Oryctolagus cuniculus: one gene and its partner. The main gene of each other region encodes a partner of the protein of the gene in region 2 in a complex. Links are inferred from orthologs where the notes say so. Each region holds a gene or a part of one and is shown on either strand. Other genes may lie near its edges.

The links.
Region 1: SPAG5 (region 2) and KNSTRN share a complex: the UniProt entries of both Homo sapiens proteins name them as parts of the astrin (SPAG5)-kinastrin (SKAP) complex. The link is inferred for Oryctolagus cuniculus from reciprocal best matches to the Homo sapiens genes SPAG5 and KNSTRN.

Annotation. Positions count from the first base shown.
Region 1 is NC_091443.1:63,564,648-63,569,267, reverse strand, and holds the start of KNSTRN (small kinetochore-associated protein), read right to left. Parts: upstream 2,883-4,620; 5' UTR 2,473-2,882; coding exon 2,264-2,472; intron 2,113-2,263; coding exon 2,021-2,112; intron 1-2,020. UniProt on the Homo sapiens protein: Essential component of the mitotic spindle required for faithful chromosome segregation and progression into anaphase.
Region 2 is NC_091448.1:44,103,915-44,108,267, forward strand, and holds the start of SPAG5 (sperm-associated antigen 5), read right to left. Parts: upstream 3,128-4,353; 5' UTR 2,986-3,127; coding exon 2,935-2,985; intron 2,682-2,934; coding exon 2,556-2,681; intron 1-2,555. UniProt on the Homo sapiens protein: Essential component of the mitotic spindle required for normal chromosome segregation and progression into anaphase. Required for chromosome alignment, normal timing of sister chromatid segregation, and maintenance of spindle pole architecture.

The sequences.
Region 1 (4,620 bases), on a different chromosome or scaffold from region 2:
TTATAGGTACATTTACTGGACACCTGTCCTCTCTATTTTCATTACTCTTAACAAAAGCAAATATTACATGTTTTTTTTTAAGGTGTCTGAAGTAAAAGGAAACTCTGGGGTAATATATTTATCTTCTTCTACCATAAGTATCAAGGTATATATAATAACAAATAGACCTCATGTAAAACAGAGTTAATGGTAAACTGATAAAAATTCACACTTCATTGACTGGAATTGATTCTATTAACCCACATTTGTCAGAAACCATGGTTTGCTTTGTAGGAACAATGTGGTAGGATGTAACAAACACTGTCTCTTAAAAGGGGAGACAGGGAGGAAAACCAGCTCTTGTCAATTGAGGGAAGGAAACTTGCTTTTCACTATCATTTCCTAACTTTTTTTTTTTAATATGCATATACTACCTATTAAAAAAAACTTAAAAAGCAGGGGCCGGCGCTGTGGCCACTGCCTGTAGTGCTGGCATCCCATATGGGCACTGGTTTGAGACTCCACTGCTCCACTTCCAACCCAGCTCTCTGCTATGGCCTGGGAAAGTAGTAGAAGATGCCCCAAGTCCTTGGGACCCTGCATTCGTGTGGGAGACCTGGAAGAAGCTCCTGGCTCTTGGCTTCGGACTGGCCAGCAAACCAGCAGATGGAAGATTTCTCTCTCTCTGCCTCTCTGCTACTCTGCCTTTCAAATAAATAAATAAATCATTCATAAAAACTGGGCCGGAGCCGCGGCTCACTAGGCTAATCCTCTGCCTGCGGCGCCAGCACCCCGGGTTCTAGTTCCGGCTGGGGCGCCGGATTCTGTCCTGGTTGTTCCTCTTCCAGTCCAGCTCTCTGCTGTGGCCCGGGAAGGCAGTGGGGGATGGCCCAAGTGCTTGGGCCCTGCACCCGCATGGGAGACCAGGAGGAAGCACCTGGCTTCTGGCTTCGGATGGGCGCAGTGCGCTGGCTGTAGCAGCCATTTGGGGGGTGAACCAACGGAAAAAGGAAGACCTTTCTCTGTCTCTCTCTAACTCTGCCTGTCAAAAAAAAAAAAAAAAAAAAAAAAACCACCTTAAAAAACAACCAACTTATGCTCTAAGTCAAGACAGAAAACCTAGTGACAGCCTAAAACTGTTCATCTACCGCAGTTGCAGAAAGCTTGCAAGGAGGCAGGGAGAGGCAGTCACTGGTGCTGAGCCAGGGGCACTGCACCTGCAGGGAACAGAGGCGCTGTGGAGACCTGGGGCCAGTTCCTCCCGCCACGCCCAGTCCCTGCCAATGCCAAGAATGCCACTCCTCAGGTGTTCTGAGGTAACACACACAAAAAAACCCTTTCAGCCTCCAGAGAAAAGCCTATTTACCTTGAAGATTAACTGTCCCCTAGCACATCAGCCAGCTGCAGAGAATTCTTGGAAGGGGCCATAAACAGATGCGCCATAACGGCACGCACACGACAGTTTTCTCCTGTCGAGAGCTAACTCCATGCCATCATCTCCCCATGAGGCTGTCCCAGGACCGCTAACCCCCGGAGATGACTTCCAAGCACAAGCAAAGCAAGATGGCAAAGCAGCTAACAGCCATTCTCTCTCCTCCCAGGTCTCAAACCCTCTGGCTAGGCTTGACACACACACCCCCGCCTTCACTCAAAGGTTATTGATCGTGCTTATGAGAGAGCCCCTGTGCAGACACAAGGTGAACCAGCAATCCCACGACTCCCCTCCCCAGCATCTCACTGCCCCTACATTCCTGCCTGACCACAAGGTTCCGCCAGGTAGCCGAGTCTGGAAATAAAACGGACCACCGTCTAAAAAGGGGTCCCTAGCTTAACGGTCATCGTATTATACAACCCACAGCGAGAACGGAACGGTCGGCGTGGTGCAGACAGGAAGGGTTCCGGCCAGGACTAAAAAATCCTAACTGCCATCAAAAACCTGGACAGCCTGGTTCTAGGGGGCCCAGCAGGTCTTCAGAGCCCACGGGATGCCCGCATCTCGTTCCCCGCCACACCCACGGCGGGTCCGCAGGGCGACACCCACCTGCGGGCAAGCCGCCGCTCAGCAAGGGGGGCTGCAGGCTGTACACCGTCTTAACCACGCTGGTCATCGTAAGCAGGCTGCACGGCTGGGCCCTGGAAGGAGCAAGACGAACGTTACCCAGCGCTCGGCCACGGCGACCGAATGGTCGCGGGCCCGGCGTCGGGGAAGAGCAAACCCTCCACTCGCAGCCCTGCCCGCCCGCCCTCACATCCAGCCCTCTCCCTCGTCCCGGAAAAGTCGAACCCAGGCGCCCGCCGCTCCCGCCCGCAGTCCTTGTTGCTCTGGTTCAAAAGACGCTCAGCAGCAACCGCCGCGCCGCCGGCTGAGCCCGCCGCCTCGGTTTCAAAGGGCAACTTCCGGTAGCTGGGAGGGAAGGGGCGCGGCTCGCGTTCCGGAGGTGGCCCTGTTGTACGGAAGGCCCTGTCGGAGGCCGCCGCTCTGGGGGCTGCCATGCTGTACGGAAAGACCGAGCGGAGGCCGGCGGCCAGATAGTGAGCCGCACTTCGCGTACCTGATTGGAGCTAATGAGCCGCCGGCGTCATATTCCAGCCTGGGGACGCAAACGTGGCCGCGTTTAGAGTCAGTGTCATAATCCTCTTTATTTAGTCTGTCATGGCTGGGGATGCTGTCAGGAGCGGAGATTATTTATATGAGAACTGCGCACTACAGGGTGCGGAGTAACAGGTAAGGCTGAAGATGGCGGCCACCTGTGCCTGTGTGCTTAGGTGCCTGAGGCACCTACCTGCCTGTCCGACTTAAATAGCACTTACCCATATTTTAAAGATCCACAGCTGTTCCTAATAGACCGGGCAGAGTTGTCAGTCATTTAGTACTTGTACTCATTTCATTCAATAAATATTCACAGAGCACTCACTCTAAGAGGGTGGGTCGGGGTGAGCGAGAACAAATTACAAGACTGACCTTGGCTCTACCTTCATGGAGTTTATATTCTAGGAAACGGAGAGTAAATATTTTTTTAAAAAATCACGCAAGTAGCCGGCGCCGTGGCTCAATAGGCTAATCCTCCACCTTGCGGCGCCGGCACACCGGGTTCTAGTCCCGGTTGGGGCGCCGGATTCTGTCCCGGTTGCCCCTCTTCCAGGCCAGCTCTCTGCTATGGCCAGGGAGTGCAGTGGAGGATGGCCCAGGTGCTTGGGCCCTGCACCCCATGGGAGACCAGGAAAAGCACCTGGCTCCTGGCTCCTGCCAGGATCAGCGCGGTGCGCCGGCTGCAGCGGCGGCCATTGGAGGGTGAACCAACGGCAAAAGGAAGACCTTTCTCTCTCTGTCTCTCTCTCTCACTGTCCACTCTGCCTGTCAAAAAAAAAAAAAAAAAAATCACGCAAGTAATTTGCCAATTGTGGTAACTGAAGGAAAATTACAAGACGCTATGAGACAGAAAAGTGGGGAAACCTGGTTTAAGTTGATGAGTCAGGGCAGATGTTTCACACAACAGTCTTAAGATGCTGTTTGGGTGGGGACCAGCTCCCTGTTAATGGCCTGGAAAAAGCAGCAAAAGATGGCCCAAGTGCTTGAGCCCTTGCACTCCAAAACTCCTGGCTCCTGGCTTCTGATCAGCCCAGCTCCAGCTGTTGTGGCCATTTGGACAGTGACCCAGTGGATGGAAGATCTCTCTCTCTATCTCTCTCTCCCTGCCTCTCTGTAACTCTCTGCCTTTCAAATAAATAAATTAAAAAAAAAAAAAAAAAAAAAAGGCAGGGGAGCCAGGACTTGAACTGGAACTCCAAAATGGGATGTGTGTCCCAAGCTGTGGCTAAACCCACTGTGCTGCAATGTCTGTCCCTGAACTTCTAGAAGTGCCTGTGTACAAAGGGGAATCTGGTTGTTGTTAGTATGCATATGGATTTGAAGAAATCACAGCAGTAATGATTATATCCTCCATTCCGTGAACTTTAGCAAAAACTAACTACTAGCCCTGTGACTTAATCAGAATGTACAAATCGATAAATAATGTGTGCCTAAGAGTGTCAGGAGCGAACCGCAAGGAAGTGGCCAGAATGGCAGGCATCATGCCTCAGATAAGGGAGACACAGCCCACTAGCTGTAAGCAGCCAAGCTTCACACCAAAGCAGCTCTACTTAGCTAGCACCGGGATGACCATTGGAAAGGACCATGAAAACCTGCCTGAGAGTCAGTCCCAGACTCACTGTCTTCCCACCCTCTCTCAACTGCCGTCTCCCCTCAGAAGTCCTGCTGACTTGCTTACTAGGAAGAGCATATCTGGCACCAGGAGACCCACTCTTCCTCTTCCGGCTACTCATAATACACTTTTCCCTTGTGTCGAATCTTGACTCTGGTCTCTGCTGAATTAGCTGCCCAGGGGGGAGCAGCCCAGGTTCATTTTGATGGGTAACGACAGACCACCATCAAGAATAAATGTAGCAGGAGCCCTGGGGCCAAGGACAGGGACACCTGCATTTAGAATTTGCAGTGATAAAAAAAGGTGCCTGCCAAGAAACTTGATAAAGAGGTGCCAGAGAGGTGAGAAGAAAATGAAAACAGAGTGGTATCCCAGACACCAGGAAGGCCTCCTGGTGGCAAGGGGCACAGGAGGGAGGGAATGGTGGAAAAGGCAAGCA
Region 2 (4,353 bases):
CAAACTTTACAGAAATAATAATTACCTTAAAGAAAAAAATCTCAGTAAAATGAATTGGAAAGGGGCCGACGCTGTGGCATAGCAGATAAGGCTGCCGCCTATAGTGCCGGCATCCCATATTGGTGCCAGTTCGTGTACCAGCTGCTCTACTTCCGATCCAACTCTCTGCTATAGCCTGGGAAAGCAGAAGACGGTCCAAGTGCTTGGGCCTCTGCCACCCACATGGGAGAACCAGAAGCAGCTCCTGGCTCCTGGCTTCGAATTGGCCCAGCTCCGGCCATTGCAGCCATTTGGGGAGTGAACCAGCAGATGGAAGACCTCTCTTTCTCTCTCTGCCTCTGCCTCTCTGTAACTCTGCCTTTCAAATAAATAAATAAGCCTTAAAAAAAAAAAAAAAAAAAAAAAAAGGAAAGATAAAGGACAAAGAAAACATAAATCTGAGGGAAAAGCTAGGAAAAATGGAAGATAAACCCAGGAAACCTAACATTTGAATAAAAGAAATTCCAGAAGAAAAGAGAACATAATACAGATGAGGTACTGATTAACAAATGTTAGGGTGTAGGTATTAAAATGCCAGTTGAGATGCCTGAATCCCACCTCAGAGTGCCTGGGTTTGAATCCTGATTTTGCTTCTGATTACAGCTCCCTGCCAATGTGCAGCCTGGGAGTCAGTACTTAGGTCCCTGCCACCCATGTGGAAGACCTAGATTCTGCGCTCCTAGGTTCATCCTGGCTCACCCATAGCAGATGCAGGCATTTGGAGAGTAAACCAGTGGTTGGTAGATCTCTGTCACTATCTCTGCCTTTCACATAAATAAATAAAAAATTTAAATAAAAAAAAATTTAAGGGGTCAGCGCTGTGGTATAGAGGGTAAAGCCGCTGTCTGCAGTGCTGGCATGTTATATGGACACTGGTTTGAGTCCTAGCAGTTCCACTTCCAATCCAGCTCCCTGTTAATGTACCTGGGAAAGCAGTAGAAGATGGCCTAAGAACTTGGGCCCCTGCACATACGTAGAATACCCAGGAGATGCTCCCGGCTCCTGGCTTCTGATAGGGCTAGCTCCAGCCATTGAGGCCACTTGAGGAGTGAACCAGTGGCTGGAAGATCTCTCTCTCTCTCTGTGTTAATGCTGCTTTTCAAATAAATAAATAAATCTTTTTAAAAGTTTAAAACAAATATTAGAATAAAATTTCTCTAAGGTAAAGAAAGATCTGAGTCAGCATATGAAAATGGAAAGGAACTGGCACTGTGGTGCAGGTTAAGCCACTGCTTGTGATGCTGGCAACCCACACTGGAGTGCAGTTTGAGTCTTGGCTGCTCCACATTTGATCCAGTTCCATGCTAGTGCACCAGGCCTAATTACTTGGGCCCCTGACACCCATGTGTGAGACCAGGTTGGAATTCCTGGCTTCAGTCTGGCCCAGTCCCAGTTCTTGCAGCCATTTAGAGAGTGAACCAGCAGATGGAAGGTCACTTGCTTGCTCTCTCTCTCTCTCTCCTCCCCCCACCCCCAAGTTCTGTCTGAGAGGCAGAGTTACAGATAGAGAGAGGGAGAAACACAGAGAGAGGCCTTTCATCTGCTGGTTTACTCCCCAAATGGTCATAATGGCCAGAGCTGGAATGATCCAAAGCCAGGAGCCAGAAGCGTCTTAGGGGTCTCCTATGTAGATGCAGGAGCCCAAGCACTTTCCCAAGCCATTAGCAGGGAGCTGGATCGGAAATGAAGCAGCCAGGTCTTTAACTGGCATCCATATGGGATATTGGTGCTGCAGGTGGATGCTTAACCTATGCCACAGTGCTGGCCCCCAAAAAAATAAATCTTAAAAAAAAAAAAAAAAAGTAACTGGCACTAATCATCAAATTTGACCCTAAGCTTTCTGGAAGCCAGAGAAAGAGGAAAAATATGGCAAAGTCACAGTTCTCATTACAAAAAGGATAGCAATTTCTTTAGGAAGATAATTTTCCCAGGTAATAAATCAAAAATATTTCTTTTAGGAACCTTCTAGAAGGGTCATTTGGCTTCCTTGGCAAGTTTTTACAACAAATGAAGAGCAGTTTGTACATGGCTACATCTTTCAAGATCTTTGACAAAAGTACAACTCACTGAGGGCAGTCTGCAAGGGATAAGCTAGGGAGTCCAAGCACCCTATCTTCCATTGATGTAATTTGATCCCAAGAGACTTGGCCACCTCCTGGAGTGGAAGGAGACAGCTCATTCTTGTAGCAAATAGACCTCTTCATACCTAAGCCATGTTAGAGGGAGACCACCAATCAGAGTGCTAGTATATCCCAACAGTTTGATAAAGGTCGAATGGGAAAGGAGGTAATAAAAACTCCCAGCTACCAGCTAAATGGAGATTCAGGTTCTCGGTGGATTTCCTTTTAACTACCCGAGGGCACCTCTCAGTTGGCCTGAATAGCTGTAAATAGAAGTCACTGAGGTAGAAGACTTCATTATCGTTATTAATTACGTTCCAGCCCCGGCCCTCTGCTCCTCTGAGCTCTCGGCCTGGGCAAACAGCCCAGGCGAGAAGCTGTCCAGGCGAATCTCACCTGCAGCCCCAGCTTGCACAGCGATGGGGTCAGCGAGGAGCACGCAGGCGACATTTTTCCAGAGTTGCTGAGGGGACTGGGCTGCAGCATGAGCTCTCGGAGAGGAGTCCTCATAGCTGGTTTCCCCTGAGAAGGAACGTGAGAAGTCAGTGAGTGTGAGGAAGCTCGGGTTCTGCCAGCCCGGCCTCCTTCCTTCTGGAGAAGCCCTTGAGTCAAAAAGAAGAGTAAGGGTCCCACTCCTATCGAGCCGTAGCCACAAAAAGACTCCTCGGGCCCCCCGCCCCCAACTCGACCCAGTTTCCCGGGAACCTTGGCACTGCCGGTCCCCTCGCCCCCATACCCCGGCCCAGCGCTCTCTCCTCCAGACCCTCCCGCTCACCGGCTGAGGCGAAGGCGACAGGCCGAGGTTCAGTTTCTTCACCCTCCACATCTTTAACACAAGACGCAGATCGATCACCTGCCCGAAAGATTCGCGAACCCCATGTCCACCCGCCGTCTTTATTTGAACCGACTCTGCGCTTCCCGATTGGCTGTGGAGACGCAGTGCGTCAGAACGGTGCGTCGCTCGAGGCTGGAGCCCGGCGGCGCCCGGAGGGCGGGGCCTCGCTTAGCCACGCCCCCTCAGGCTGGACCCGCCCACGCGCGGCGCGCCGTCTCCCGAGCAACTCTACCTCAGACGCCGGCTTGAGGACTGGACACGGACCAGGTCGGAGGCGGGAGTTGTGTCCGCACATCAGAGAGGACCGGACAGGTAGCTGGAGAGTCGGGGACTCCATCCTTCCTGCTTCCAGTGGACCGCCCTCACACCCCGTCAGGAAAGTTGTCAGGTCTCGTCAGGTCTCCCTTAGTAACGCATCGCCTCAGCCTTGACAGGAAAGAGCAGGCCGGGGAGACCAGGATGATGGGTGAGTGGGTGCTTTTTCCTGACGCTTGGGCAGTTTGTGCTTAGGTCCTCACACCCGTGCGGGCCTGGGACGTAGTTCTCAACCTGGGCCCCGGTGCCTGTGCCAACCTTCTGGACTTTGCCTGGAGCTGACCTTGGGGCCTGTGACAAGTCCACCGGAATAGTAGCTACCATGTACTGTGTTGAGCATTTATGTACCTGGTGCGGTGCCTTTTTTTTTTTTTTTAAGATGTATGTATTTATTTTAAAGAGTTACACACAGAGAGAAGGAGAGGGAGAGAGAGGTCTTCCATCCGATGGTTCACTCCCCAGTTGGCCGCAATGACCGGAGCAGCGACGATCCAAAGCCAGGAGCTTCTTCCAGGTCTCCCATATGGGTGCAGGGGTCCAAGGACTTGGGCCATCTTCTACTGCTTTCCCAGGCCATAGCAGAGAGCTGGATTGGAAATGAAGCAGCCGGGACTCAAACTGGCGCCCATATGGGATGCTGGCACTGTAGACAGCGACTTTACCCACTATGCCACAGCGCTGGCTCTTGCAGTGCCTTTTTCTATGTATTCGCTCATTCAATCCTCATAAGGACCTACGAAGTAGGAATGGCTGTAAACATCCCCATTTTATAGACGAAGGAACTGAAACCTAGAAAGAGTATGTCGTTTGTCCGAGGTCCCACATAGTAGACACAGCCCACTACATTCTGCTGTCTCTTGCATTCCTCCTATTTGAGAAATCTGTCCATTGAAAGTGGGATTGGTTTTTGAAAGCAGCCGAAAGGCAGGTATTCAGAGTTCATCAGTGGTGGGCGAGTGTTCCTTTTGAAGCCTCAGGGCACCTTATTTACACTCTGGAAGTCCTAATGACTTGGGCAAAGCAGCAGTCCCAAAGGGAGGAACT